7 linked regions of the Macaca mulatta genome follow. The protein of the gene in region 4 purifies or fractionates together with the protein of the main gene of each other region. This does not show direct contact. Links are inferred from orthologs where the notes say so. Each region holds a gene or a part of one and is shown on either strand. Other genes may lie near its edges.

What was found.
Region 1: the proteins of BACH1 (region 4) and MAFK purify together in Homo sapiens (affinity purification with mass spectrometry; 6 studies listed by BioGRID and IntAct, counting the BioPlex papers as one, with this or other methods). This does not show direct contact. The link is inferred for Macaca mulatta from reciprocal best matches to the Homo sapiens genes BACH1 and MAFK.
Region 2: the proteins of BACH1 (region 4) and FAM83D purify together in Homo sapiens (co-immunoprecipitation; 3 studies listed by BioGRID and IntAct, counting the BioPlex papers as one, with this or other methods). This does not show direct contact. The link is inferred for Macaca mulatta from reciprocal best matches to the Homo sapiens genes BACH1 and FAM83D.
Region 3: the proteins of BACH1 (region 4) and MAFG purify together in Homo sapiens (affinity purification with mass spectrometry; 5 studies listed by BioGRID and IntAct, counting the BioPlex papers as one, with this or other methods). This does not show direct contact. The link is inferred for Macaca mulatta from reciprocal best matches to the Homo sapiens genes BACH1 and MAFG.
Region 5: the proteins of BACH1 (region 4) and MAFF purify together in Homo sapiens (affinity purification with mass spectrometry; 3 studies listed by BioGRID and IntAct, counting the BioPlex papers as one, with this or other methods). This does not show direct contact. The link is inferred for Macaca mulatta from reciprocal best matches to the Homo sapiens genes BACH1 and MAFF.
Region 6: the proteins of BACH1 (region 4) and HMMR purify together in Homo sapiens (affinity purification with mass spectrometry; 6 studies listed by BioGRID and IntAct, counting the BioPlex papers as one, with this or other methods). This does not show direct contact. The link is inferred for Macaca mulatta from reciprocal best matches to the Homo sapiens genes BACH1 and HMMR.
Region 7: the proteins of BACH1 (region 4) and XPO1 purify together in Homo sapiens (affinity purification with western blotting; 3 studies listed by BioGRID, with this or other methods). This does not show direct contact. The link is inferred for Macaca mulatta from reciprocal best matches to the Homo sapiens genes BACH1 and XPO1.

Annotation. Positions count from the first base shown.
Region 1 is NC_133408.1:35,469,711-35,474,480, reverse strand, and holds the start of MAFK (transcription factor MafK), read right to left. Parts: upstream 3,190-4,770; 5' UTR 2,930-3,189; intron 692-2,929; exon of another isoform or gene 587-691; intron 435-586; exon of another isoform or gene 375-434; intron 256-374; exon of another isoform or gene 1-255. UniProt on the Homo sapiens protein: Since they lack a putative transactivation domain, the small Mafs behave as transcriptional repressors when they dimerize among themselves.
Region 2 is NC_133415.1:91,796,575-91,801,266, reverse strand, and holds the start of FAM83D (protein FAM83D), read right to left. Parts: upstream 3,006-4,692; 5' UTR 2,966-3,005; coding exon 2,303-2,965; intron 1-2,302.
Region 3 is NC_133421.1:91,584,330-91,588,964, forward strand, and holds MAFG (transcription factor MafG), read right to left. Parts: upstream 2,906-4,635; 5' UTR 2,726-2,905; intron 2,585-2,725; 5' UTR 2,556-2,584; coding exon 2,520-2,555; intron 2,427-2,519; coding exon 1,974-2,426; 3' UTR 510-1,973; downstream 1-509. UniProt on the Homo sapiens protein: Since they lack a putative transactivation domain, the small Mafs behave as transcriptional repressors when they dimerize among themselves.
Region 4 is NC_133408.1:18,196,475-18,201,020, forward strand, and holds the start of BACH1 (transcription regulator protein BACH1), read right to left. Parts: upstream 3,179-4,546; 5' UTR 3,133-3,178; intron 3,005-3,132; exon of another isoform or gene 2,320-3,004; intron 1-2,319. UniProt on the Homo sapiens protein: Transcriptional regulator that acts as a repressor or activator, depending on the context. Binds to NF-E2 DNA binding sites. Plays important roles in coordinating transcription activation and repression by MAFK.
Region 5 is NC_133415.1:13,278,755-13,281,557, forward strand, and holds part of MAFF (transcription factor MafF), read right to left. Parts: intron 1,249-2,803; 5' UTR 1,218-1,248; coding exon 1,182-1,217; intron 657-1,181; coding exon 198-656; 3' UTR 1-197. UniProt on the Homo sapiens protein: Since they lack a putative transactivation domain, the small Mafs behave as transcriptional repressors when they dimerize among themselves.
Region 6 is NC_133411.1:172,289,396-172,293,384, reverse strand, and holds part of HMMR (hyaluronan mediated motility receptor), read right to left. Parts: intron 2,589-3,989; coding exon 2,400-2,588; intron 1,089-2,399; coding exon 1,002-1,088; intron 911-1,001; coding exon 810-910; intron 1-809. UniProt on the Homo sapiens protein: Receptor for hyaluronic acid (HA). Involved in cell motility. When hyaluronan binds to HMMR, the phosphorylation of a number of proteins, including PTK2/FAK1 occurs.
Region 7 is NC_133418.1:63,238,907-63,242,895, reverse strand, and holds part of XPO1 (exportin-1), read right to left. Parts: intron 3,527-3,989; coding exon 3,368-3,526; intron 2,013-3,367; coding exon 1,815-2,012; intron 677-1,814; coding exon 538-676; intron 375-537; coding exon 193-374; intron 108-192; coding exon 1-107. UniProt on the Homo sapiens protein: Mediates the nuclear export of cellular proteins (cargos) bearing a leucine-rich nuclear export signal (NES) and of RNAs.

The sequences.
Region 1 (4,770 bases), about 17 Mb from region 4:
GGGGCATTCCGGGGGGCCCAGATGCCCCCCAGCCCCCAACCGCATCACTCACCGGAGTTGCCCCCACCCCTGTCTCTTTTCCTCGTCCACGCTCCAACCGGGCTTGATCCCAGCCCTCAAGCATCTCCCGCCCGAACCCGCAGCACCTGCCCAGGCTCCGGCCTCCAGCTTCTCCAGTGTGGACCACAGCTTTGCCAAAGGGATGCCCTCACCCTGATCCTGGTGCCCCCCACGCAGCCCCACAGGCAGTCAAAAGTTTTGGGGTTCCTCCCAAACCCCGACCCCCTCACCCCAACACCGTTTCAGGTTTCTGATCACCCCCATCTGCAGAGAGCACGTGGCCCCCTGCCCCCCTCAAGCCCTGCTTCTTCCAGAAACGCTCCCCACTGCTCTCCTTGCGTAGGCAAGCACCCTCTACCAAGGCCTGGTTCTAGATCCTTCTGGGGACGGGGCCCTCCCCGTGGTGTGGTGAGCTCCTCGCAAGCAGGGAGCATGTCTTCCCTACACCCCATACGAGCCTCCCACTGTACGAGATGAGCCGGCCCCGCACGGGAGGGCAGCGAGAGGGCAGTCTCCACCCCAATACCTTCCCCAGGACGCCCGACGCGCAGTGCGAACAAGCAGGCAGGTTCTACACCAGACCCCACCGGCCCTTGGGACGGGCCAGCAGACGTCACGGCCTGGGTTTCCTCATCTACAGCGGCCGGTCGGGGTGGGGCGTGTGACCTCTCAGGTTCATTTGTACCTGCTCTAAAACTCTATGATTTTAAGACGACACTCCCAGTTTCCTGAAACTGTAGGAAAGCGGAAACATGACGGAGTCTGTGACTTATAAAAAGCAAAAATAAATAGCGGGGAAAGGTATCTTCCATTCGCGGAGAGCAGGGAGGGTGGGGACGGAGCGGTGAGTCACTGTTTACTGTTGAAAGGCAGCCACACGGAGCCTTCTCCCAGCTGGCCAGATTTCCATTTCCCGTGTGGACTGGACCCGAAACCCAGAAAGTCCACTCCAGAAACCTTTAGACTCAGAAACAGCTGGGACAGGAACAGGCACAACTTCTTCTCGGTCTGGGTGGCAAACAGCTTTGCTGGAGACTGTAAACAAACGCAGCCATCGCCGAGCCCCGTGGGTGAAAGCGCACGCCTTGTAGACAGCAGAGTGGCCCGGAAGACGGTCTCACTTAACAGCGGCCTCCCGGGTGCGCACAAAGGCTGGCGCCCCGACAGCCCCAACCCTTGGTAAACGCTGGCTCCCGGGTTTACCAGCACCTGGGGAATCAATGCTGTAGGGAACCAGCCCCTCAAAGCCCTGGCTCAGCTCAAGGATAAAAGGCAGGAGAAACCTGGTTTGTTTTTCTGCTTTAGTAAATGTCTTATTTTGGAATAATGAAAGGTCTAGTTTTAAAAAGCAGACTCCCTCTCCCAAGGTCAAACTCAGACATTCCTACTGGGTTACCTAAGAAGGGGAGATGTTCTCTTAAACGGCACTGGACGCCCAAATAGGATGTAGGTGTGTCCCAGACACCTGCACAGCCCACCTATGTTCTCCAGACCCCGCCCACAGCTCTTTCAATACTCCACATCTCTGAAGACACTGGGCTTGGAGAAGCTGCACAGGGCATCCCACTCCATGTTGGAGACCCCCTTACAACAACACACTGTGATAGTGAAACCTCAGTGCCAGTAGAGACCTGGCAGCCCACCCTGGAGAATCAGAGGGGTGGGAAGGGCAGTGCCGGAGCCGAACCACAGTGATATCCCCTAGTCCACGGTGTCCCGCAGTGGGGGGCGTTTTGAGTCCCAGGATCGTCCCAAGGCCAGGCACCTGGCCAGAGAGTGGCTGGCTGCCTGTGGGTCACCTGGTGAATGAATGGTGGATCTGATTTCTGCCTCAGCTACAAGAGCCGCCTAAGCAGCAAGAAACAGCATGCTCAGGGATGCAGGACACGGGGAGAGGGACACAGGAGGCCCCGCAAACATGAACACACACGGTGTGAGGGTGAGAATGCAGCACAGGGCCACTGCTGTACCCCAGGGGGACCCAGGTCAAGGGCCAAGGCCAGGCGGGGTCCTGGCTTTCTGGGTTTTTCCGCGGCGCCTCGACCCACCCCCCCAGTATCTTGAGGGTGTGCAAACAGAGACACACACACACACAGCGTCACGAGCACATAACACAGTTTCCTGAACTTGACAAGAGACACAGAAGAACCCACGCAGTGGGAGCGGGAAGAGGCCTGAGCCCCTGCCCCACATGTGAGCAAAGGGACACGCGCCTTGGGGCCCCTGTCACCTGCTCCCCTCCTGCCTCCCCACGGCCTTCCTTCCAGCAACCCTGGCAGGTGGGCGGCTGAAAGCAACACCAGTCCCAGGATCCTGCCTGTAGGGAGACTCGGTTACCCCCACCCCGTCCACGGGCACGCGTGGGCCGCAGCGCCGCCCGTCACCGGGAGGAAGCGAGGGGGGCAGGCCGGGGCCGCACGCGGAAGCCACGCTGGGGCGGAAGGCACGGGGAATCCACGCGCCCGCGCCCTCCCCGCGCCGCCCGCACGTGGCGCCCGCCCCGCCCCCCGCAGGTGTGAAGGCGCGGGCACAATGCGCGCCGCCGACTCGCGTGGACTCCCGTGTTCCCAGGTCTGGGGTCCACGCCCCAGGGCCCCGGGCTTAGGAAGCATGGCCCGGGCGGCACGTGCAGGGCAGAGAGCTTCGCGTCCCGGGGAAGCCCCCTGGGCCTGCGGGGCTGGGCCCAACGGGGCAGGTGCGCGGGCCGCGTAGGGGGCCGCATGGGGGTCTCGGGCCCTGCGCACCCAACCCCGCCACCCTCGGCCCGCGCCCCCGGGCGGCCGTGACTCAGCGGCCAGGTGGCCCCAGCCCCGCGTCCCGGTCTCCGTCCCCGCCGCGGCCCGGTCCCCGCTGCTCCACCGCCCCTCACCTGGCGTCGAGCGGAGGGCGCGGGCGCGCGGCGGCTCCTCGCGGGCACGCGCTGTCCTCGCGCCGGCGCTCACTCTCGCGCTCCCCTCGGCCGCCGCCGCCTGGCGCTCGGGCTCCGACTTCACGAAGAACAACAACTCCCCCCCGCCGCCCGCCGCCACCGCGCCCGCCCGCCCGGCTCCCCAGCATCTGACACCGCTTCCGGGATCCGCGGCGCGCGCGTCACGCCGCCCCGCCCCCCTGGGGCCACGCCCCCTCCCTCCCCCGCGGGCACGCCCTCCTCTCCCGCCCGGGGGTCCGCGGGCCCCGCCCGCACCTGCAATTCCCGCGCTTTGGGAGGCCCGGCGGGAGGATCTCTGTGGGCCAGCAGTTCAAGACCAGTCTGGGCAACATAGCGAAACCTCCCTTCCCCCATTCCCCGTCTCTACAAACATAAAAAACATTAAGGCCAGCTGGGCACAGTGGCTCATGCCTGTAATCCCAGCACGCTGGGAGGTCAAAGCAGGAGGATCGCTTGAGCCCAGGAATTCCAGACCAGCCTGGACAACATAGTGAGACCCCCATCTCTACAAAAAATTACAAAAAGTAGTCGGTCGTGGTGGTATGTGCCTGTAGTCCCAGTTACTCAGGAGGCTGAGGCAGGAGGATGGCTTGAACCTGGAAGGTGGAGGCTGCAGTGAGCCATGATTTCATCACTGCACTCTAGCCTGGGTGACAAGGTGAAACCCTGTCTCAAAAAACAAAACAAAACAAGCAAACCAGCAATGTAAAAATGGGGATAAGCGGCTACTGGTCACAGCTTCTGTGAGTGGGGCCAGCCCCCTTCTAAAGCCCCAGCTGCTGGTTGCCAGGGGGCCACAGCAGGCCCAGGATGGGGTTAGGGCACCACTGGCCCAAGGAGTCCTGTGAGGGATCCTCAGGTGGGAGCAGGTCCCTGAGGGAGCTGCCTCTGCTTCTTGTCGCAGGTGGAGGACAGGCTGGAGTGGGGACCCGTCCAGAGTCCCTCAGAGGGGAGGGTGAGCCCCTTACCAAGCTTCTGGGTCCCCAAGTCCCGCCCTCCTCTGAGCGCTGCGGGAAGAGGAGTCTCAGGCCTGGCCAACCAGGGCACCCACGGCATCTGCCCAGGGTTCTGGGAAGCCTGTTTTCTCGGCTCAGGTGGGACTCGGGAGCCTGTTTCTCGGCTCAGGTGGGACTCAGGAGCAAGGACAGGGAGGTCTGTGCATCTTCTGGGTGTCATCCTTACCACCGCGTGCCTGGGGATTTAGGCAGCCGCCCAGTGGCCTCTTGCTGTGGAGCGAGGGGGCAGCCTCCCGGACCATCTCTGACCCCCACTTCTGACCACCTGGGAGGCGCCTCCTTGCTGAGGCCCACGCTGCCGTCTGGGGTAGCCAGACACAGTGATGCCTGCAACCTGGCTGCAGAAACAGGTGCCAAGAAATAGCAGCAGTAGCGACAATGTCCCACGTCCCCAGGATGTTTGCAGAAAGACATCCCCGGGGGATGGGAAAGCTGCTTCCCTTGTCCCGGCCCACACTTTGCACTTGGGGTTCTGGGATGCGCTGGGAGCCTCCAGAGAAGCTGTGAGCGTCTCCTCTTTACGTTACTCATGGTGTCGCTGCTCTAACCCAACTGCATTCTTTCCATAGTAGGCTTTTGTTACTAATCGCACAGTTATATTATCTTTTTAATTTTTTAATTTGTATTTATTTATTTTTTTATTTTGACACAGAGTCTCACTCTGTCGCCCAGGCTGGAGTGCAGTGGTGCCATCTCAGCTCACTGCAAGCTCCGCCTCCTGGGTTCACGCCATTCTTCTGCCTCAGCCTCCCCAGTAGCTGGGAC
Region 2 (4,692 bases), on a different chromosome or scaffold from region 4:
AGTAAGCAAATAATTTGGCATCTATTCGACCTACTGAAAATACTCATTGGATTTTTTTTTTTCCCAAGACGGAGTCGTGCTCTGTCGCCCAGAGCTGGAGTCCAATGGCGCAATCTCGGCTCACTGCAACCTCCACCTCCCAGGTTCAAGCAATTCTCCTGCCTCAGCCTCCCGAGTAACTAGGATTATAGGTGCGTGCCACCACGCCCTGCTAATTTTTGTATTTTTAGTAGAGATGGGGTTTCACCATGTTGGCCAGACTGGTCTCGAACTGCTGACCTCGTGATCCGTCCACCTCAGCCTCCCCAAGTGCTGGGATTACAGGCTTGACCACCGTATCCAGCCAATACTCATCGGATTTAAAGGTAACTTTCTCAGTTTAAACTGCCCACGTTCCAAATATAGCATCTCAGAGGGAACTGTGGGTAGCTAGACTAGGGCAGCAGGTTCTATCTGGAAATGTCAGTATTACAAAACGCCCATGGGATGAGGGAGAGTCTGAGCTCCCGGCTCCATCCCCTCCTCAGGCCAGCACGTGAGTTTAATTTCCCTCTGGCCTCTGGTTCCAGTGCCCCTTTGCTATCACTAAAATTTTGAGATGGGCAAAAGACTAGAACAATCCACAGCTCTCACTATATAGACCAGTTCTTTACATTTTTCAGGTTCCAAGTGCTCAAGTTCTACTGGAGGTGAGCTTTGGGAACGCATACCTACACAAGTCTGCCTTTTCCATCTTTTTAATCTTCTCACTGAACCCGCAAGGAAAATGTCTACTGCATCAAAAAACCCTCAGCCCACCTAAAGCACCTCAGGGCTGGTAAAAGCCTAGCTGCAGCCCACAACCACTCCCTCAAAAGCAAGGCACTAGGTCACTGTATCCACTACCACTGCAACCCCACCATTCAGGGAAAGAATATTAAGAACATTGGTGAGAATTGGGGCTTGGACTTGGACATGTCAACCTGACAATGCACTGGTATCTTCACCCACAGTCAGACACACTCATGTACCAGCCCTCGCAAGTCTTACCATGGCTGGGGCTTTATCTGCCATGTCCCTGGCACAGGCAGACAGCCAGGAAGCCGGGCACTGCCAGTCAGCAAGCAACCTGACCATGGTTCCAGACCAAGGTGTCTGCCACCATACTGTTCTGCCACACCCACATGCAGGCTGCCTTCTTCCTCCTTGATCCCCAACACCCTGCTGCAGCTTCATTGAGGCTGGCAAGCAGACAAGACCTCCACTGCGCCCATGACCATGCCATACTGAGTCAGACAGTAGGACCAAAACAGAAGCCGATCTAATGCAAATGTATCTGCATTTTAGGAGACCACTGCAATCTGGCACAGACCCAGCCTATGGAAAACTCCTTGCCCCTTTCATTCACAACGGCAAATTTCCCCTCCAGTCTCTGGCAGTAGAAAAAGCGGCAGGGGGCCGGGCGCAGTGGCTCACGCCTTAATCCTAGCACTTTGGGAGGCCGAGGAGGGTGGATCACCTGAGGTCAGGAGTTCGAGACCAGCTTGGCCAACATGGCGAAACCCTGTCTCTACTAAAAATACAAAAACTAGCCGGGAGTGGTGGCAGGCGCCTGTAATCCGAGCTACTTGGGAGGCTGAGGCAGGAGAATCACTTGAACCCGGGGACGGAGGTTGCGGTGAACTGAGTTCCCACCACTTCACTCCAGCCTGGGCAAAAGAGTGAGACTCTGTCTCAAAGAAAAAAAAAAAAAAAAGACAAGAAAGAAAAAGCGGCAGGGGTCTCACTTTGCCACTTGTGTTTATCTGCTTTTTACAACATAAGATGCGTGAAAGTAATTAGCAATAATAATTGATTCCTAATGCCCCGTAGTTGTCTCTGGAGACCACCTTCCTGGAACTTTCCCTAGGTAAGTTCTTTGGTAATGAGTCTCCTAAGAAGCTCCTGAAAGTGGGATGTAGCGTTGGCTGACAGCCAGGGAAATCGGCAATTTTCCAAGTTTGATTTCAACTGAAATTTGGAGCTGGGAGTACTTCTGGTCCCTCCTTCAGGGATATGAACGTTAGGAGATGGAACCCGGACACAATTCTTATCCTTGGGAACCGAGGCTTCCCCACTATCCCCTGCCACCAGGAGCGGCCCGGGGGATCCGGGGAAGACACGCAGAGTGGGGTGTGAGTCGGGGACCCCGGGACCCCGTGGCCCGCGCTTCCGGTAGGGAGCTGAGGAGGTAGTCGCCCCGGCCTGTGCTCCCCGCAGGCCTCAATTTCCCATTCTTGAAGGGGGTCTCCCGTGCGACCCAGAGCCCGGGAGGGCCGCTCACCTCTCGCGCCGAGCGGAGCTGCTGGCGCAGAGCGTCCTTGCAGCCGTAGGGGCCGCCCTCGCCCGTGCCGCGGGGCTGGAAGTGGGCCTCGACGCGCGTGGCGCCGCGGTAGGCGCCCTGGTAGAAGGCGGGCCAGCCGAGCTCCAGCAGCGGCGGCTCCAGGTCCGACTGCTCGGGGAAGTAGGTGCCAGACGAGCAGTCATGCGAGGAGCCGAACGAGTCCTCGGCCGCCGCCGCCGCGCCCTCCTCTCCTGGCCTCTCCGCCGCGCGCAGGATGGCGTGCACCTCATCGGGGTTCAGGAAGCGAGCCAGGCGCTCGCGTCGCAGGAAGGCCGCGAAGGCTTCGGGGCCGCCGGCCACCAGCTCCTCCAGAGCCAGGCGCCGTGACTCGCTGAACAGCTCGGCCGGGTTGGGCGGCCCGCACGGAGACAGGCAGGCAGCCGGCAGTTCGTCCAGGCCCTCGCACAGCAGAGCCATAGCGGCACTCGGACGCGACAGCCCTCGGACAAGAACCAGCCTGCAGGCCCACTTTATAGGCAACCTTTGAATCAAACAGGCCCGCGCCATTGGCCGCACCTCCCCGCCTCGACTCTCCCATTGGCTGCATTCCTTCCAATAGCGGAGCGAGGCGGGGCGCAAGCCTCTACGGTTCCGCCCCCTCATGCGTTATTGGCTGCGATGCTGGGGTTGCTAAGCCGAATTTAAACTTGCAGGGGCGAGGCGGGCCGCAGAGCAGGGACAGAGCGGGGAGAGCCGGGCTCCTGGCCATCCCAGGGCGCCCCCTGCCGGCCGCCCCCCAGTGCGGCCCTACAAGGCCAGGGACAGTCAGGCCTAGGCAGTGAGGAGAGGCAGGTGCCGGCTCCCAGACACGTTGGCCACGCTGCTCCTAGGCTCTCAGAGCTTTGGTATGGCCAAACATATCGTCTTTATCCCCTGCCTTTAACCACGTATTCATTCATTAAAAAAATACCGGCTCATCATATTAGGACCGCTCCTTTGCTTACACCCTCGGGTAGTCTTCTCTCATTTCATCAGTTTTTGCCTTGTAAAACTCCAACCAACCCTGGTTGTATCCTACTTTGCACCTGCACCCCGGCAGCCCTACAGGGCTGGAGAAAAAAACAAAAAGAGCATAACCATGCTTACTGACTGGTCATGTTTTACATTCATAATCTGTAAGACTACCTGCTAGGAGGCCGGGCGCGCAGTGGCTCACGCCTGTAGTCCCAGCATTTTAGGAGGCCTAGGAGGGCGGATCACCTGAAGTCAGGAGTTTGAGACCAGCCTGACCAACACGGTGAAACCCCGTCTCTACTAAAAATACGAAAATTAGCCGGGCATCTTGATGTACGCCTGTAATCCCAGATGCTCGGGAGGCTGAGGCAGGAGAATCACTTGAATGCGGGGAGAGGAGGTTGCAGTGAGTCCAGATCACACCACTGCACTCCAGCCTGGGCGACAAGAGCGAAACTCCATCAAAAACAAAACAAAACAAAACAAAACAAAAAAACTGCCTGGTAGGCCACATTTCCCTCATTCTCTCTACCTTTTCCTCTCTGACAGCTTGCCTCCTATGTCACCGAGAACACAGAAGCAGTGAGAAGGGAACGTCCACGTGCGCCCATCTAGTCTACCTTCCTGTCTCCATCGCTGCCCATATACTGGGCATTGATGAACTGCGCCTGTGCCCATCCAACCCCAACCCCTCTGCCTGGGCACTTCCAGCCCCTCTACTACTCACCAGCATCACTCCAGCAACCTTCTTCTTTCTCCTGGAACATCAGCTTCCCTCTTTACTGATTCATTTCTATCAACCTACACGCATGCTGAAATATTTTTCGTCTTAAAACAACCCTCTTTTGACTCTACATTCCTCTAAAGCTCCCCATCTCTCTTCTTACTTTTGCAGCATAAAATCTCAGATGTGGCTGGCCATGGTGACTTGCACCTGTAATCCCAGCACTGTGGGAGGCCAAGGGAAGAGGATCACTTGAGCCCAGGAGTTTGAGACCAGCCTGGGCAACATAGTGAGATCCTGTCTCTACAAAAAAATACAAAAGTCAGCTGGGCATGGTGGTGCGCCTAACTCTTAGTGCATGGCAGTGCTCCTGTTGGTCCCAGCCACTGGGAAGGCTGAGGCAAGGGATCAGTTAAGCCCAGGAGTTTGAGGCTGTAGTGAATTATGATCACACCACTGCACTCCAGCCTGGGTGACAGAGTAAGACCCTGTCTCAAAAAAAAAAAGAAAAGAAAAGAAAAAGAAACCCTCAAACCAGTTGTCTATACCTGCTGTCTCCAGTTCCTTTCCAGCCCTCTTCAATCAGGCTAAAACCCTCACTTCTTTACCAAAACCTCTTGTCAGGTTCATCATGAGTTCCACAGAGCTAAAT
Region 3 (4,635 bases), on a different chromosome or scaffold from region 4:
GCACCTCCAGCAGAAGCCAAGCAGCTGATCCCTGGAAGACAGATCCCAAAGGGAGGCAGAAGGCAGGCCCAAAGCCAAGAGCTGCCAGCGTGGACCAGCGGAGAAGAGGGACAAGACCGGCCCTGGAGACTGTAGCCCTTGTCTGCACTGGTGGACGCTCCCAAGACTCTGAGTGAGGCAGGGACAAGGAAGAAAGGGTTGCCCGGTGGGCCCCCAACCACTCTGCCTGGAAGCACCACCCGCAGCATGGAAAGACCTCAGGGATCAAGTAGGCGGCGAAACCTGCAGCCCACGGTGCGGGCCCCGGGGGTTCCCCGGCTGAGGCCCCACATGAAGCCTATCGGAACAAAACTGAGGCCTGAGGAAGACAGCCAGGGAACGCTTGGCCACAGCCCTGTGGCCACCCACAGTGACTCCTTGGTCCCTGCACCACCACCACCCAAGGCCAGAGGTGGTGGGTGTAGAGCAGTGTGGGGGGGCCCCAAGGGGCCCCCAGTTTCAGCTACCCAGCCACCAGATCAGCCCAAGCCCTAGACACAGATGTAGCCAAGGCTCAGTCGGGGGGGAGTGTGACAGAACCCCACGTCTCACCTCCTAGGGACCAGGAGCAGGTGGAGGGCACAGACTCGTTGAGCTCTGACGCAGCAGGTGCCACCTGGCACCCCAGCCCAGGTCCGGCAAGCCAGCAGAAGCAAAAGCACAACGAAACCCAAAAAACGAACACAGGAAAACTGACACAAGAAGTGACACCCACAGGTCGAAGGTCACCAGAAGCACCAGCACTTTACCGCTGCACAAAACCTCACCAGGCACGGACGACACCACGGCACCGGCAAGAGACGGAAGCAGGAAGGGCAGAGGAGTAAGTCACTTTCGGTACAATTGCAAAAGATATCAAAGAGGACGGCCTTCTGGTCGGCTCACGGCTTGGCTTTTTTTTTTTTTGTCTTTTTTTAAACTAAGTTTTATAAATAATGTCTGATAACTCTGTGTATATAAAAACTAAACTCCAACAGCCACAAAGAGTTGTCCGTAAGTTTACAAGAAAGGGATTTTTTTTTTCTTTTTTTTTTAACTAGCAAAGTTTCTATTATACTTTCTTCCCTTTTCCATTTATATGGTCAAATGGTCTTCTTGCTTGTTTTTTTTTTTTCTAAAAGACAGTTTTATAAATACTCTGCAGCTCTTTTTTTCTTTAACTTTTAAACATATAATTAATTTAATAACTTTGTAAAAGGAACTTCTCTCTTTTAAATAAAGGGCTATATAACCACACAAATAGGTCATGTAAACAGTGACACGGGACCCATCGCAGGGCACACTGGACTCACCCTCACGTAAGTGCACAGCCAGCGATTTGGTCTTGTTCAGTGCAACGGGTCAGGCCTGAGCGCACAGCCCTTGGCCCCAACTGCACGCCCCCAGCACCACTGTGCCCAGGCTGGTGGTCCACCCATCAGGGCCTTCAAGGCAGCCCTACTCTCAGAGCAGAGCCCATCTCTTTGTGCTGGGCTAAGCTGAGCTGCCCTCCTGGGGCTAAAGAGAGTGAATCCTTCCCAGCCCACAAGCCTGTGGCCACTCGGGAGTGGAGGGCACACTGGAACCCTCACTGCTCGGGGACACGTGAGGCCCAGCGTGCCTTCTCCTTCTCTCTCCCGCAACTCTCTCAAGTCCATTCCCACAGCACCAACTCTGGACTCCAAGACTGCATGGCCCTGGTACAAAAGGGGTTGGCGCGACCCCACGTCACCGCCGAACTGACCAATCCCAACATACAAAACACACGACGACAATGACGAGATCAAAGGGGCTCAGCCCGGCGCCCCTGGGGTACAGGTTGTGCTTTGCAGGGAAGAGAGAAGGGCGGGGAAGAGAGGGAGGAAAGAGAAGAGAAGGAAACAGAGGGACAGGGCAGCCGAATTCGCCATGTGCCTAGTGGCCCCGCAAAGACCCGCCTGGGTAGACGCGCGTCCCTACGATCGGGCATCCGTCTTGGACTTTACTATTGTGATGACGCTGGTGGCGGCCACCTTGCCTGGGACGAGGGGCCCCAGGCCGGCGGCAAGGGGGCCCCGGGCGGGCGCCACGGGGCTGCGGGCCACCGTCCGGGCGAAGGTTTGCAGCGCCTCGTACTTGGAGCGCAGTGCGTCGAGCTCCAGCTTCATGCTGGCGTTCTCTGAGGCCAGCTTCTCCACCTCCTGCTGCAGCTCCGCCTTCTGCTTCTCCAGCTCCTCCTTCTGCGTCACCCGCTTCACGCGGCAGCTGGCAGCGTAGCCGCGGTTCTTGAGCGTGCGCCGGCGCTGCTTCAGCTGGACGATCTCCTCCTTGGACAGGCCACGCAGGTGCTGGTTCAGCTCCCGCACCGACATGGTCACCAGCTCCTCATCCGTCAGGCTGGTGCCATTCTCACCCGGCTCCCGCTTCACCTGGGGCACAGGGCACAGGGTCACAGGCCAAGCGGGCATGCCCACTGTGCCCCCCAACCCCGGGCCTGAAGGCTCCTGTCCCTGCCCACTCACCTTCAAGGCCTTGTTTCCTTTATTGGGGGTCGTCATAACCCGGGGGCACAGCGAGCAGGCGCTCTCTGCAAGACATGGAGCAGAGGTCAGTACCCTGGAGACCACCCTCGCCCCCCACCCCAGTTCACAGAGCCCTTGCCGCACAGCCCACCCCAGCCTGCTGCCCAGGTGCCCAGCCCCCAGCCCAGGTGCCCAGCCCCCAATACCTGATCGGAGGCAGCCCTTGGCCTCTCCCAGGCTAGGCTGAGCTGCTTCCTGTCCACCCTACCCTCAGAGAACCAGGTGGGAGGTCAGGAAGGTCTGATGGGAGAAGGGGAACTGAAGGCTGTTAGGGAGGCAGGCGCAAGACAAGGGGCGGGGGAGAGATTAGAAGGAATAAGACGCGGGAGAGGCAGGCCTAGAAGGAAGCCGGGAGCTTTAAAAATAACCCCAGCACTGCCCCAGAGCACGGCTGTTCCTGGCGAGTCACGCTGACTCAGCACATTGCCTCCCGCTCCCCCGCCGCGCCCGCACTCCCTGGGCCCGCCAGCCAACAGCGCCCCAGGAGAGCCGCAGCCGAGCTGCTGGGGGCCAGAAAGGCCAGCCTGACCAATAGCAGGTGAGGGCCAGCCAGTGACCCTGTGCGTGCATCTTCCAGGGTCCTACCTCCTACAACCACCTCCCCTGAGCTGGCCTGGGACAAAGCCCCCTGCTCCCTGGGTGCACAGGGGCCCCACTGGGGACCTACCCAGAGAGGAGGCTGTAGGGAACCCTGAGTCTCCCAGTCTCCTAACTTTGAGAAGCTGAGGGTGGGCCGTCCATCTAGCTTTGGTCTGTTGGCAGGACTGACCAGGGAGTTCCCCCACCTTCCAGGTGGCAGGCCATCAGCTGGGAGGAGCCTGGCCCGAGGCCCCTCCGGCCCTCCCAGTCTGCCTCCTCCACTGATGGAGTAACCATCCTGTGGCTTTGGGTTGCAGGAAGCAGCCCCTGCCCCACCCCATCCAGGGTATTTCACAAGGGCTCCCACAGTGAGCCACCCCGGGGCCTGCCCAACTGAAGGCTGGTGGAGTCGGCCCCTCCGAGTGGCAGCCTGCTCTCTGGTCCCTGCCCCGGGTCAATTCCCACAGGGTCAGGGAGCAAAAACAAAAGTGCTGGGGAGGCTGGACTAAACAATCAACTCTCACCCACTCGGGTCCCTCTAGCACTCCGCTCTCACTTTCTTGCTACGGATATTTCTGTGCACCTCATCCCAGAAACCCATCTGGGATTCCCAGCTCAGTCCAGCTCCCACCAGACCCTTGGGCATGGACCCCACCCCATGCTCCATCCCCCACTTTCCAGGTTTGATGCAGACAGATGGGAGTCTCCTCCAGAGCAGCCAGGAGCATTTCAGGAGATTATGGGCTGGGGGGCTTCTTACTCTCACCAGGGTCAAGACTCCACTTCACCCAGCCTTGGACCAGGACGTGAGGCTGCAAGCCCAGAGCAGGGAGGGGAGGCCAGAGACCCCTCTCCACAGTCAAGCCAGCTCAGAAGCAAGGTCCCAAGACTCCAGCCACTGGATTCTTCCAAATAAAGGATGGGGAAGACCTGAGCTGGAGGTCAGAAGGCCCACAGGAGCTCTTTCCTACACATCTGGCAGGACACTGCCTCAGGAGACAGGCCCCCAGCCTTGAGTCAGGGTGCAGAGACACTGCCGTGGCCCCAGCTTCTCCCACCCCCATCGCCCCCACGCCTGCTGCTAAGCACAATGACAGCGGTGACTTCCTGAAGAGATCACACGGAAAAGTGCCTCCTCGACAGATTCTGCCCTCCGCAGAAGGCCTGAACTCAGCACAAGCGCAACCCATCGCCTCCTAATCAAAGGTGTGCCTGGGGCGGGGGAGGGGCAGGCCTGAGCACAGCCAGTGCTTCCAGGCTCCTGGCCCGGCCTCTGGCAAACCCGGATACACGGACACACGCAGAGCAGAGACAGCCTCAGGAGCTGGGCTCAGAGGGACGATGCAGGGATCCCAGGAGCTGGACTGAGGAGAAGCTGCCCCAACCCCAGTCCTCCTCCAGCCCTCAAGGCTGGCCAGAGCTGGGTCCTGTCACGCACCCTCTGCTCCCACAAAGGCTAAGCCCACCTCACACAGGA
Region 4 (4,546 bases):
AAAGGGTTTTGCAACTGTTATTCTGAGCATCATCTCTCACAGTACAGGTGTGTAGAAGCCACATGGCACATGAGATTTAACTGAATGGTAAATACTACCCTCACTGCCGCCACCCGCCACCAGCACTAGCAGGAGGTTGATATTCAGAATAAATGCTACTTTCCAAGGGATTCACTGAATCTGTCGTCTTATTAATCTTCATTAAGCAAGTGTAAGCTTGGCCAAAAAAAAATACAAAAAAAACAAGACTTCGAGGAGTGACAGTACAAAGTAATTTTTACAGAATGTGTGATATACATATTACACTCTATATACATACTACACTCCAATGTGTGGATCATCTTCGAGTATTTCCATTGCACCTTTTTACATTTCACTGCACTTCAGATAACAAACATTTAAACAAACCAACCAGTGAGCTTGTCTCCAAATTCAAAATACAGGTTACCAAATGAAATTCTGTATTTTTTGTATTTCCATCCCCAATATCAACAATGTAACAAGAAGTTTACACTCAAACTTCTAATCTTTAAAGTAAAATATACAGACAAGAGAACTACCTATAAAATAAAACTTAAATGGAATATTAAGGACAGTATGAAAGAACTCTTAGGAGGAAACCATAAAAGAACAAGCATTCCGGTTGCTGAAAGAATGTTATTGACAGTGGTTAACAGGCTATGTTCCCCCAACAACAAACGGGTGGAGGGCATGCACGCGCATTATATAATATGAATGCGCTATTGTTAGTCTGTATTTTTAAGTTTAATGTCTTTCTTATATTAAATAGAAGGTTTTAAAAGTTTTAATATAGTGTTTCCACATGAAACTCCTTGTACCCCACCTTAGAGGCCCTAATACTTACAATATTCATAATTTCTAATCTCCTCTAGTCCCAGACATAAAGGAACAAAATAAATATAAAAATTTATATTTATATATAAAAAAGTTTTTCCTAATATAAAATGTTTTAAATAAACTATCATTAATAGGAATCATTTTTTCCACCAAAGGGTCAAATTCCCAGCTCTACATTGCCCATTCCTAAACTTTGTTTGCAATGAGGATTCATAAATATTTGGGCTGTGTGCTCCTTTTTAAAGCAAGAAGCAATGACACCAGGTGTAAAGGCAGTAGTGTCACACAATCAAGACAATGAGACAGGTATTTATGGTTGGCCATTCATTAAACAGCTCTTTCCAGACTTGACCCAATGAGACCTGTTAATTCCACCCATACTGTGCTTACCCTCTTCTGACTCCTGAAACTTCTTGTGTATGCATGAAAAGCCAAGGGTCTTGAGAAACAGCAAGTCCCCTCTGTGTACTCATAACCAAATTTTTATGAAGCACAAATTAAGCTCACTGCTTGAAATGTATAGACCACGTAACAAAAACCACAAAAAGGAAACTAAGTCCAGTAAGAGTAGCAAATATTTTTGTTACAATATTTTTTATTGGGTTACCCCTAGCTGCAAATTTCTTCCCCAGTTTCAGCTCTCTCCAGCGCAAATTTCTTCTCAGACAGCAGGTCACGAGACTCTGGGTTTAAACACCGCCTCAGTGCTATTGGCCACTGCCTAAGAGTGCTCTTCCACTTCACCCACCGATAAACTGGATCAAAACAACCCCAGCTGGGTCCCCTTCAGCCTTCTGAAGCAACCCCTCTAGAGCGCTCCTTGGCCTTTTATAGTGGAGGCATGTGATGAGTATCTGCACCAGCTGTTTCTAATTACCTCTCAAGCTGGGGCGAATGACTCAGCAACCCAACTTTTTAAAGAGTCATCCTACCTTGTTAATCAACCAACATACTGAACAATAGTAAACCACTTGACAGAACCATAGGTTAAACAGCAATACAAGATTCACTACACCAAAGCCACCCTACTCCAAGCTGACTCACCAGGAGCCTTTCTTCCCTAACCTTCCTTAAGATGTCCAAAGGCAGAAGTGGCAAGTGCCTTCAAGCCAAGCCCAGCCCAGCCCAGCCCTTGCACCACTACCCAAAGACCAGGAAGAAGCAAGCCTCTTCCCATTTCTCTGCTTGGCTATGTGAAGCGCTCAAGTGCTCTGCCACTAACACATCTGGGATTTCCACCCTTTATCCTTCTGAACTGCATTCAATACAAACCCTCTGATGTAAAGTGTGTTCAAATATGTGACCAAATTCCCATAGCATCCTCCATGGGTAACAGTCCATACCCCTATACAATTTTCCAAAAAGCAAAGCATCCTACAAAACATTCTTTGTTCCTCCAAGCCTGACACTGTAGCTCGTTTTCCCCATACACGTTCTTTCACAATTACTACTACACTTTACCTGGAATCAAAACAAGTTTAACGCAGAAGCCTCACTCCATAAAAGCATTCCGCACAATTCTACTCAATGACATGAAACTGCCGTGTAAGAATGAGGAAGCAACGGCACTCGTGTTACATTACACGAGCACAAAGCTGGTGTCTCCAGAATCAACGCCCACTCTCACCATATTGTGCGAGGCTTAATTACAACGCGTGGGCAAAACTCCAACAAAGGGAGTCCTGGGATCTCCGGTCCCCAAAACCAGTCTTCGCTAAATCCATCTCAGCACGGTGGCCTTCTCTCCCCAGGCACAAACTCGGCTTTTCTTACGCGATTCCACGCGCGACAGGCACCAGGCTGAGTAGACGCGAGGCTGGGCATAGCGGTGGGAGGCGGCGGAGGACAATACGGGGCCCCAGCCGCGAGGGCGGTGCTGATGTGTCACAGCCCGGACGGGCCGCGGGCGAGGGGCTGGGCTGGCGCCTGAGGGCGGGGAGCGGGGGTGGGGCAGGGACCCCGCGGCCCCTAGTCCCCGCCCGCCCCGGGTAAAGTACGGCGCGCGCGGGTAAACAACAGCTCCTGCCGTGCAGGGGGTTCGGGCGCCAACGGGACGCCCCTTCCGGCGTCGCGGCCACTTCCAGAATCCCGGCCGCCAGCGCCCCCAGCGAGCCCCGCTACGCGCCCCCCGCGCCCCGCCCAGCCCAGAAAGAGCCGCCCCCGGCCCGCCCGCGCCTCCCCCGGACCTGTCCGCGGGCCTCCCCTCACAGGCCCGCGGCCCTGACCGCGCCAACCCTCCCGGAGAAGGGCCGGCGGGACTGCCGAGCCACTCACCGGAGCTGAGGCGCGGCGCGGCCCGACTGACTGCAGCGAGAGCGCCTGGCGGGCGGCGAGGGCAGCGGTCAGGTGACTCACTCCTTCCGCGCGGCCAGCCGCCCCCTCCCTTCTGCGCCGCTCTGCTGCCGCCACCTCGCGGCGCCAAAACCCCGCCCGCCCGCTGGAGGCCCCGCCCCCGCCGCCGAAGCCCCGCCCCGCCGCCCTCGAGACCTCTGGCAGCGAACTAGCTAGCGCAACAGCGCGGGCCGGGGTCGCCGCGGCCGGAAGCCCGCGCAGAGGGATTGCAGGGTCGGGTCGTAAGGGGCGGGGCGGGCCTCGGGGAGGCGGGGGTGGGGTCCCCGGACCTCCGCGCGTGGCACAGCCCGCAGCCTGAACTGACTCCCACTCCAGGACCACCTCTCCTCTCCCTTCTGAGGGCAGAACAGAAAGGCCGAGCTCCTCCTCGCCCCGGGAGCTGCAGGACGCCCTAATTCAGCCGAGTCGTCGCGTGCCCGGGTGCCCGCGGATAGCAGGAGAGAGGACGGGCGCTGGCCCCACAGGGGTCGCTTTACCCCTTGAAGAGCTCCTCGCTGCCTGCCCTGGGGGTGGCGGGCGCCCAGGTTCGCAGGGTACTTGAGCTTGCTGGTTGGGATGTATCAAGTGCGTCCAGGGTTTTCTGGAGCGCGTCTAGCAGTTGCTCTACTTCTTACTGACATGAAACAAGGGCCCCCACGACAGGTGTTCCCTTTTCGCTGTCGCTGCCAGGAAGCTTCCAGCCAGGTTCAGCGCCCAGTGGTGTCAGCCGGCCCATCTCGAGCCTTGGTTCCGCTGTCATCTTCTGGTGCTTATTCTGGTATTTATCCAACTGTCAATTTTGAAATTATGTTCCCAAGCCATTTAACACCTCTGGAGTTCAAAGCAGTGGCTGTCAGCGGAGAGGGATGCACGCGCAGCGAAGGGGACTGTGCACGCCAACCCCACGAGGGTTCCTGCGGAGATGGCACGGACCTTGAGGTCTGTAGCCAAAGGACGATTTGTGTGAAGGGGTTTTACTGTTAGCTTTGGAGCCAGTAACAAGAAGACAGCCGTGGAGTTCCTGGGGCAAAAAGGATACCAAGATAATAATTCAGGTATTATCGCTAACATGACTGCATTTGCACCCACAGGCTGTGGGACTTGAGGACGTTTGAGTTACATCCCAAATACATGAGAAAATCACGTAAGTGAAGTTGGATGGGAGTGCGAGGGGTGAAGTGATACATTATGACCTAGAATTAGGGGAGGCTTCCTGGAGCATTGTGTCTTAACTGGGGAGAGTGGAACCCAGCGGTCTAGATAGGGTCCAGAGGTGGGAGGTACCTCGCATCTCGGGCTGCCTCAGTTCTTGGTGGGAGTGCAGATATTTAGTGAAACATGAGCAAAGGACATTTGG
Region 5 (2,803 bases), on a different chromosome or scaffold from region 4:
AAGTTCCCCTTCCCAGGGCCATGCGGTCCCAGTTTTGGGGGCTGCAAGAGGAAGACAGGGCCCATGGAGGGAGTGTGTGTGCACCAAGGGGCCAGTGCTGCAGAGAAATGGGGCCTGGGCACAGAGGCGGCGCTCAGGCACTTTGGGGAGGGAGCTGGAGCCGGAGGGGCGTGGCTGGGGCATGGCGGGGGCGGGCACTAGGAGCAGGAGGCCGGGCCGTGGGCGGGGTCCGGTCCGGGGGCGGGGCCAGACCCCGAGCCCGGGGTGGACTTGACGATGGTGATGACGCTGGCTGGCGCCACGAGCGTGGTGGGCCCGCGGGCTGCGGCCACAGAGCGCGCGAAGCCCTGCAGTGCCTCGCACTTGCCGCGCAGCGCGTCGAGCTCCAGGCGCATGGCGGCGTTCTCGCGCGCCAGCTTGTCCACCTCGCGCTCCAGCTCCGACTTCTGCTTCTGCAGCTCCTCCTTTTGGCACACGCGCTTCACGCGGCAGCTGGCGGCGTAGCCGCGGTTTTTGAGTGTGCGGCGCCGCTGCTTGAGCCGTGTCACCTCCTCGGCCGAGAGCCCGCGCAGGTGCCGGTTCAGCTCGCGCACCGACAGCCCCATCAGCGCCTCGTCCGACAGGTGCGGCGTGTTCTCACTCAGCTCTCGCTTGATCTGCGGGCATAGGGAAACTGAGGCCCAGGGACTGGGGACGGTGCACCGCTCCACACCTCGGTGTTCCTCTTTCACTGCCTTAGCCACCGAGGTGGTGGTTGGACTTGATCCAAAACCCTGAAGGGGAGCAGGAATCCGGGAAGGGGAAACCAGGCCAAACTAGGATCCGGACACAAAAGGATGCCACCCCGGGCTCAACCTGAATTCTAACCTAGCGCCAAGCCCTGGACTCAGCCAGAGAAACCCAGCCCGGAAAGCACCTTTGAATGCATCAGGGGGCATTGACTCGATGGGGAAGGAGGATGGAGAGGGAAGTGACCTACCCCAGGGACATGCAGCCCGTGACCAGAGCCCAGGCCTCCTGGTCCCAGCCTGTGGCTGTGGCCCTTCCCTTGGGCATCATGAAGGCCTGGTGCCTGCTGAGCCACCCAGGGGATTCCAGGAAAGAAGGGGAAGTTGGGATGACGAGGCTCTACATGGGCAGGGAGGGAGGGCTTCATGGGTTAACAGAGGCTGCCTCCTTACCTTTAGAGCTTTGCTGGATAGGGGATCCACAGACATGTTTGCAGAAGGTGCCTTCTGGGCCGCAGACCTAGGGTAGAAAGGAGGTCAAAGTCACCTTGTTTTGTTTTTGTTTTCCCATTTAGAATAACATCCAAACTCACTACCTTGCCATTCAAGGCCTCTGCTATCTTAGAACTGATTCATACCTGCCACCTTCCTCTCTCCACATTGCTCCACAGGCCTCCTTGAATGGCTCCTTCCAGCCTCGGGAGCTGTGCACATGCTGTTCTCTTTACTGTTCTAGCTCCCCATGGTGACTCCTCATCATTTAGGTGTTTGCCCAATGTCACCGCCTCAAGAGATCTTCTTTGACCATTCCGGCTAAACGCCTCTTTGTGTCACATCACATAACCCTGCCTATTAACCCTTGTAACAGTCACCTCTTCTGCATTTCTTGTGCTTGGTTCCTCATCTATGATTTGTTTCTCCTTCCCACTCCTCCTCCACCAAAACGGAAGCCCATGAAGGCAGAGGCCTTGCCTGTCTCACCATGGCATCAATATGCCTAAATAAGTGCTTGGTATATAGTAGATGGCCCAGTAAGTGTGCACCAAATGAACAGATGTCCCTCTCCTGACCATTCTTCCACATGGGGCTTGGTCATGTGCCTTTGATTTGATTTTTCAGAACTTTTTTTCTTTTTTTGAGACAGTCTTACTCTGTCGCCCAGGCAGGAATGCAGTCGTGCGATCTCGGCTCACCTCCCGGGTTCAAGTGATTCTCCTGCCTCAGCCTCCCAAGTAGCTGGGATTACAGGTGCCTGTCACCATGCCCAGCTACTTTTTTGTATTTTTAGTAGAGATGGGGTTTTGCCATTTGGCCAGGCTGGTTTTAAACTACTGACCTCAGGTGATACACCCACCTTGGCCTCCCAAAGTGTTGGGATTACAGTGTGAGCCACCGTACTCAGCTGATTTTTCAGAACTTTTCTTAAAGTATAACCTACATTCAGAAAAATACACACAGCATATGTGCACCAGTAAATGCCTTCTTTTTTTTTTTTTTTTTTTTTTTTTTTGAGACAGAGTCTCGCTCTGTCGCCCAGACTGGAGTGCAGTGGCCGGATCTCAGCTCACTGCAAGTTCCGCCTCCTGGGTTTACACCATTCTCCTGCCTTAGCCTCCCAAGTAGCTGGGACTACAGGCGCCCGCCACCTCGCCCGGCTAGTTTTTTTGTATTTTTTTAGTAGAGACGGGGTTTCACCGTGTTAGCCAGGATGGTCTTGATCTCCTGACCTCGTGCGAGGATCCACCCGTCTTGGCCTCCCAAAGTGCTGGGATTACAGGCTTGAACCACCGCACCCTGCCAGTAAATGCCTTTTTACAAAGCCCATCCGGCACCCCATAAGATACAATATCAGCCAGTCCCCTCTCTCCCCAGGCCTCCTTCATCTAGACCTCTGTTTTGGAAAAGCTTTCCCAGCTGCCTGGGGACTGCCCCACACTAACTCAGCATGCCCTAGGCAGATGGGGCAGCCATCCCTAGACCACTGAGGGCCTCTCATCTCCTAATCCCCCCTCCCACACGCCTGACAGCCGCATGCTCCTTCAACAACTATTTATTGAGCAGCTACTCTTTGCCAA
Region 6 (3,989 bases), on a different chromosome or scaffold from region 4:
AGATTGGATGAATCTTGAAAAATTACATCAAACAAAAGAAGCCACACACACACACATGCTCTTTCTCTCTTGCATGTCCTAAAAAAAGGCAAAACTGGACAGGTATAGCGGCCATGTCTCTATCTCCAGCACTCTGGAAGGTCAGGGTGGTATCACTTAAGTCCAGGAGTTTGAGACCAGCCTGAGTAACACAGCAATGCCCCATCTCTAAAATAATAATAATAACAATAATAATGATAATAAATAAAAAAAGGCAAAGCTAATTTATGATGATGTAAGTGAGAAAGTAGTTGTGGGGATGGGGACATGGCACAGGCAGTAGCAGGGAGACAAGAAGGGGTGTGAAAGAACATTCTGAAGGGATGAAAATGTTCTCTATCTTGTTTGGTAATGGTTACATAGGTGTATACAACTGCTAAAGTCACCAAACTGAACACTTACTATCCACACATTTTATTATATGTAAATTAAAGCTCAAAATCAAAGCCTATGATTGTGCATAAATCACAACTTCCTATACCAGTGTTTTTCCGTTTCAATCTAATGACCACTTTCATAAGATCATGAAACCTTTCCTCATCATTAATACAGAAGATGTACAAAAGTAATGCACTCATACAACTTTCTAGCACATGTTTGAGAATGATTAGGGCTCATTCTCATTTAAAAAAAGAAATAGGGCAACTGGAGGGAGGCAATGAGATAAGTACTAAGAGAAGTCTGAAGTCTCAGTAAACAATAATTTGTGAAGAGAGTCAAATCAAGAATTGCTTCCACTTAACAAGTTCTCTTCACATTCAGTCACTTACAGTTTTCCCTCCAGTTGGGCTATTTTCCCCTGAGACTCTTCGAGACTTCTTTGGGTGACCTGCAGCTTCATCTCCATGCCTTCTTGCTTAGCCATCATACCCTACACAACAAAGATACGTGTTTTAGGAAATGAGAAAATTGTACTGATCCCCAGATCCAGACACAGCAAACCTGCCAAAGGCAGCACTCACCCTCATCTTTGTTTCTCTTTTGTTTCTAAGTTTCATCAACTCCAAGCTTAGAATTCTCAAATTCTTCTGGTTACCATTTTCAGAAAACTAAGTACAACAAACACATAAAAAATTCAGAAATATTTTCTGCTAAGATATATTTAAAATACACAAGTATTGATTTTTCTACCTATCACTGGGGTTATGTTTTTGACTGTAATATGCTTTGGTAGAGAGAACAGTCTTTGACCTACACCATAATTACTGATTGATTTTTTTTTTCTTTTGTTTTTAAGAGATCAAGTCTCGCTTCGCTGTCCAGGCTAGAGTGGCGTGGCATGATCATAGCTCACTATAATCTCAAACTCCTGGACTCAATCCTCCTGCCTCATCTTCCTGAGTAGCTAGGATTACTGGTGTGCACCACCACCATGCCTAGCTAATTTTTCAAGTTGTTTATAGAGATGGGGTCTTGATATTTTGCCCAGGCTGGTCTCAAATTCCTGGCCTCAAGCAATTCTCCAGCCCTCAGCCTTCCAAAATGCTGGAAATACAGGCATGAGCCACTGCACCGGTCTACTGTTCTTATCTCTCTTTTCCTTAATATGACTTGCTGGTTTGTTTTGATTTTATTTTTATGAGACAGAGTCTTACTCTGTCACCCAGGCTGGAGTGCCGTGTTGCTCACTGCAACTTCCACTTCCCGGGTTCAAGCGATTCTCATGCCTCAGCCTCCTGAGTAGCTGGAATTACAGGTGTGTGCCACCATACCTGGCTAATTTTTGTATTTTTAGTAAAGATGGGGTTTCGCCATGTTAGGCTAGGCTAGTCTCGAACTCCTGACCTCAAGTGATCCATCCGTCTCAGCTTCCCAAAGTGCTGGGATTACAGGTGTGAGCCACTATGCCTGGCCTGCTGGTTTAGTTTTGAAAGGTTGTTTGGGTGGTCACTTACCTCTGTGTGCTGGAAAGTGCATTGCAAGATTCTAAAGCAAGTCCCTGAGAAAGGATTTCTTGAAACATGTTTGCTTAACAAAATAAATCTGAATTGCCTGGTATACTTTGTTTTGTTTTGTTTTTTTGAGACGGAGTCTCACTCTCCTGCCTAGGCTGGAGTGCAATGGCACCATCTCAGCTCACTGTAATCTCCACCTCCTGGGTTCAAGCGATTCTTCTGCCTCAGTCTCCAGAGTAGCTGAGATTACAGGTGCCCGCCAATGTGCCTCGCTAATTTTTGTATTTTTAGTAGAGACGGGGTTTCTCCACGTTGGTCAGGGTGATCTTGAGCTCCCAACCTCAGGTGATCCACCCGCCTTGGCCTCCCAAAATGCTGGGATTACAGCCGTAAGCCACTGCGCCCAGCCCGAAAAAACATGTTTATATTTATTCAACTGTAAATGTTATCATGAGGCTCAGATACCTTAGATTTTAGTAGTTCATTAGTCCTGGTCAATTCAATAAGTTGTTTCTCCAGTGTAGCATTATTTGCAGAGAGAGACGTTTTTTCCCTGAGTGCAGCGTTCAGCCTTGCTTCCATCTTTTCCAACTCAGTTTCCAGATCCTGGATCCGCCTGTCCTGGGCACCACGTTCCTGTAGAAGAACACGAATCTGGACAAAAACAAGGTGAGAATAAATGATTACGAATAATCACCCCGAAAGTTTCTGGAAAAATCTCTGATTTTGACATTATGCTTGTAGATATTCTAATGTTACTAGCTATCTGAATAATCATATTTACCTATGATGCATCTTAAAAGTCTTAATGCATTTTAAGAACAGAAGAACTTTAGTTGCCATAAATTCCAAGTATAATTAAGCTATTTATTCACTTTTTTTTTTTTTGAGATGGAGTCTTGCTCTGTTGCCCAGGCTGGAGTGTGGTGGCAGCATCTCGGCTCACTACAAGCTCCGCCTCCTGGGTTCAAGCAATTTTCCTGCCTCAGCCTCCCGAGTAGCTGGGACTACAGGCGCCCCCCACCACGCCCGGCAACTTTTTTGTATTTTTAGTAGAGACGGGGTTTTACTGTGTTAGCCAGGATGGCCTCGATCTCCTGACCTCGAGATCCACCCGCGTCAACCTCCCAAAGTGCTGGGATTAGAGGCATGAGCCACTGTGCCCGGCTGCTATTTATTCACGTTTAAGGCATTTCCACCTATAATAGTTATTTTCTGTAGCTTCAATTACACAAATTCAAATTAGCTTAAAATACTAAATGTTTTTTTATTTCAAGAAGGCAGAGCTGGGCTTCTGAGGAGAATGTACTAGGCATTGGCAAGCCATCATTCTTGCTGCTATTACCAGATTTAAAAAACAAAACAAAACAACAAAACCCCCCCAGACCAATATTTGTCCACAGAAAATGTGGAAGCCAAAAGACAATGAAATGAAATGATATTTTTAATGTCATGGGGGGAAACCTGCCACCCTAAAATTCTACACCGAATGAAGTCACTGATATAAATTATTAGTTCTAATCCTGGCTTTACCACTCACTCACCAGCTATCTGACTGAGACTCAGTGATTATTCCTCAGTGATTAAATATCAACCCCTACATGTATCCTCAATAAAATGATAGCTAACATGATTAGAATACATATAAAACAATCAGAGCAACTGAGCAGACATCTACAGTTACTCTGACATACTCTTGGTCAAAAGCCAACATTCGACTGTAATCAAATGAAAGATTTTAATATATCGAAAGAATATATCCATGAGAAAAAGAGTTGGTTAGCAACGGAAACAGAAAAGACGGCAGAGAAGCAAAGTTCACAGTGAGCTGCTTAGCATTGCTAGGAAAGTAAATGGGTTCTTTAGGTCAGTACTGTTCAATAGAAATTTCTGTCATGGTGGAAACGCCCTGTCCAGTATGGTAGCTGCTAATCACATGTGGCTATTGAGCACTTCAAATGTGATTAGTGCAACTGAGGAATTGAGTTCTTTTTTTTTTGAGACGGAGTCTCGCTTTGTCGCCCAGGCTGGAATGCAGTGGCCAGATCTCAGCTC
Region 7 (3,989 bases), on a different chromosome or scaffold from region 4:
TGAGCTCTCAAAAATCGTGGATATTGACCTACTATGTACATGATATTTGATGCAATAATAGCTTTATTATCTTTGCCTCTTTTCTGTTCACATAATCCTAATAGATCCTGTAAATAAGACAGATTTATATCATTTATTGTAACAACATAATACTTATTTAGCAATTCTAATTCATACCTATCCCTTGCATACCTTTATAACAGTAACAAGAAATCGTTTTTCATCCTCTTCATGCATTGCTCCACTAATGGAGCCTATTGCCCAACACAATGTATTCAAATTTTTCCACGACCACTCTGTACCATTCACTTGATTGTGAAGCTTCTCTGTCATTATTCTTTCTGTATCTACATAATCCAGATGAGTAAGATAAACTACGAAAAAAAAATTGTTTCAAATGCAAATAATGAGCAAAGAGTTTTACCAATGAATACCATGTTTAGAAAATATTTAGAAACTACAGTACATTTTCTAAAATATATTTCTACCCCAGAATAAATTTATAAAGGTAAAGATTAACAGTATTTATTAACTTACCTAATGTTTCCCTCATATTCTTATACAAATTTATGGAATCTGTATCCTTCATGAATTCTCTCACAACTTCTCCTTGATCATTCTCTACAACCAATACTTCCTCTGGTTTAGCCATTCGACTAACCATTAATAAACGGACCTATATTCAGCAATAAATCAATCAAGAAAAAATCATTAGATCACTGAAATCATTAGTGTAGAAGCTTAGTTAAAAACAAAACCAAAAAAACCCACAGGCCAGCCATGTGAAGGGATTCATGCCTATAATTCTAACTATTCTGGAGGCAATTCTTTCTAGACCTGTTGTGGCCAGGAATTTGAGAGGAGCCTGAGCAACACAGCGACACCCAATCTCTAAAACAATAAAAATACTGGGGCTTAAAGCACAACAGAAAAAACTATGTAAATATAAAGTAAAACTAAAAAATTTAAAATTAGCTGGGGATGGTGGTGCGTGCCTGCAACCAGTTACTTGGGATGCTGACGCAAGAGAATTGCTTCAGCCTAGGATTTCAAGATTGTAGTGAGCTATGACCATGCCACTGCACTCCAACCTGAGCCACAGAGCAAGACCCTGTCTCCAACAGAAGAAAATTTTTCACTGTAATTCTACAAAAATGGCTTTACAATTATTTAAGTGTGTTTTAATGTGATTTTTTTTAAAGCCAACTTTTGTTACAGGAGTTTCCTGTGTCTCACTTCTAGACTCTGGTTCAGTAGATTGGCAGGTGGCCAATGAATTTTGCCTAACAAAATCACAAGCGACGTTGATACTGAGAGAAGGATCACACTCTTGAGAACCAAGGTTCGGCCGGGCGCGGTGGCTCAAGCCTGTAATCCCAGCACTTTGGGAGGCCGAGGCGGGCGGATCACAAGGTCAGGAGATCGAGACCACAGTGAAACCCCGTCTCTACTAAAAATACAAAAAATTAGCCGGGCGCGGTGGCGGGCGCCTGTAGTCCCAGCTACTCAGGAAGCTGAGGCAGGAGAATGGCGGGAACCCGGGAGGCGGAGCTTGCAGTGAGCCGAGATCGCGCGACTGCACTCCAGCCTGGGCGACAGCGTGAGACTCTGTCTCAAAAAAAAAAAAAAAAAAAAAAAAGAGAACCAAGGTTCTAGACTCAATTCCTTTCATGTTCTAGTTTTCCACACTCATGGAGAAGTTGTTGGGCTCTCTTTTCGTAGCTAATTTATTTAGATAGATTAGAAGTATTTGCATTCAGACCTCAAAACCACAGCAAGCAACAGGAAGAACACTCAACCAACCACTCTGTTACCTTGAATAACATGGGCAAATATAGCTGTCTCCTGGGAGGAACATCAAAATGTTGACTTCCAGATAGCAACGGAGAGGCAGATGTAGAGAATGGACTCTCTCTATAGAGTTCAGCAGCCAAATGATTCCAGTATTCAAGACAAATTTTAAAGATTTCAGTTTCTTCTACTTCAGATACCAACAACATATAATGAAGGGCCTACAGAGAAGACCAAAACTATTAAAAAATAATTCTTAAACATTACCAACTTCAAATTGCTTTTCACTTATTACACCTTAAGGGAAAATAAAAATTCATGTTTTATTCATCACAACTCAGATTTCAATACTTATCAGACAGTAAACTCTGGAATAACTCTGCTTCTTCTGACATGCCCTAAAGCACTTCAAAAATCTCTCACATAGTTGTTGATCAATATGTATTTTTATCATGTCTCCTAACGGAATGACATTTATTTAAAAGGCCTTGAGTGCCAATAGGCAAGTGGTATCAACAACACAAATGTACCATTACAGAGGAGAGAACAAACAAAATACGGAATATTCTTACAATGAAAATATTACTCAGCCATGATAAAAAGTGAGGTATTGATACAGGTTACAACATGGAAGAACATTGAAAACACAATGCCAAATAAAAGAAACCAGACACAAAAAGGTCACATGTATGATTTCCTTTATATGGTATAATCAGAATAGATACATCTACAGAGACAGAAACCAAAATAATGGTTGCCAGAAGTTGGGGAGAGAACAAAGGAGAAAGTGACTGTTTTATAGGTAAAGGGTCATCTTTGAGTGATGAAAATGTTTTGGATCTAGGTATTAATGGTGGTATAACATTAATGGTGGTATAACATTAATGGTGATATAATATTAGTATATTCAGTGGTATATACTAATACACCACTGAAGAGTGTGTGTGTGTATATATTTATGTTATATATATATATATATATATATATATATTTTCTTCCTTCAGACAGAATCTTGCTCTGTCACCCAGGCTGGAGTGCAGTACTGTGATCTTGGCTCACTGCAACCTCAGTCTCCTGGGCTCAAGCAATTCTCGTGCCTCAGCCTCCTGAGTAGCTGGGATTACAGGCACGTGACACCACGCCCAGCTAATTTTTTTGTATTTTTAATACAGATGGAGTTTCACCATGTAGGCCAGGTTGGTCTCGAACTCCTGCCTCTGCCTCCCAAAGTGCTGGGATTACACGCTGAATTGTGTATCTTTAAATGAACAAATGTTATTTGAATTAAAAGTGAAATTTTAAAATAAGGTCTTTGGAATTTTAACCTTAGAAATGATATAATAATTAGTAATTTAATTTTGATTATAAATGTTTAGTCCTAGGCTTTATGGAGAACATAAAATCAGAAAACTGGGCTTATGACTGTAATTCGGAATTAAGAATATATATCATGCACAGGTCAAGTATTAAGTAATAAGAAATCTCAAAAGGTACATACATTTTTGAAAAAAGGCACTTTTAAGAGTTATTAGTAGGTAGAGCAGAATTTTAGGAGCAAAGGCTCCACACAGCTTACCTCCATAAGAGTTTCCCTGAGATTTAATCTTTTTTCTATAAGTTGATCATGTTCCTTAAGAAAGGTGCAGAGAAACAAACTGAGATTTTGAATGAAGTTCTGTTCATCATCTTTTCCATTTGAGTACGCAAGTCGAATATTGGTATTTAAAGGAAGCATCTGCAAATTTAAAAAGGGATGATCAGTTTGCATTTCATAAAACAACAAAAGACATTTATATTTTATTATTATTATTTTTGAGACAAGGTCTCACTCTGTCCAGGCTAGAGTGCAGTAGTATGATCACAGCATATTGCGGCCTCCACCTCCTAGGCTCAATCAGTCTCAGCACCTCCCAAATAGCTGGAACCACAGGCATGTGCCATGACACCCAGCTAATTTTTTAAAAAGTTTTTGTAGAGACCGTATCTACAAATCCAGGCTGGTCTTGAACTCCTGGCTCAAGCAATCCTCCCAACTTAGCCTCCCAAAGTGCTGGGATTAAAAGTGTAAGCTACTGCACCCAGCCAACACTATTATTTTTAAGCCCTAAGATCCCAACACCCTTTTGCTAATATTAAACCACATATAGAACTCCTAGGTCCGGTATACCTATTCTTATATCTCTAAGACCTAGATTTTG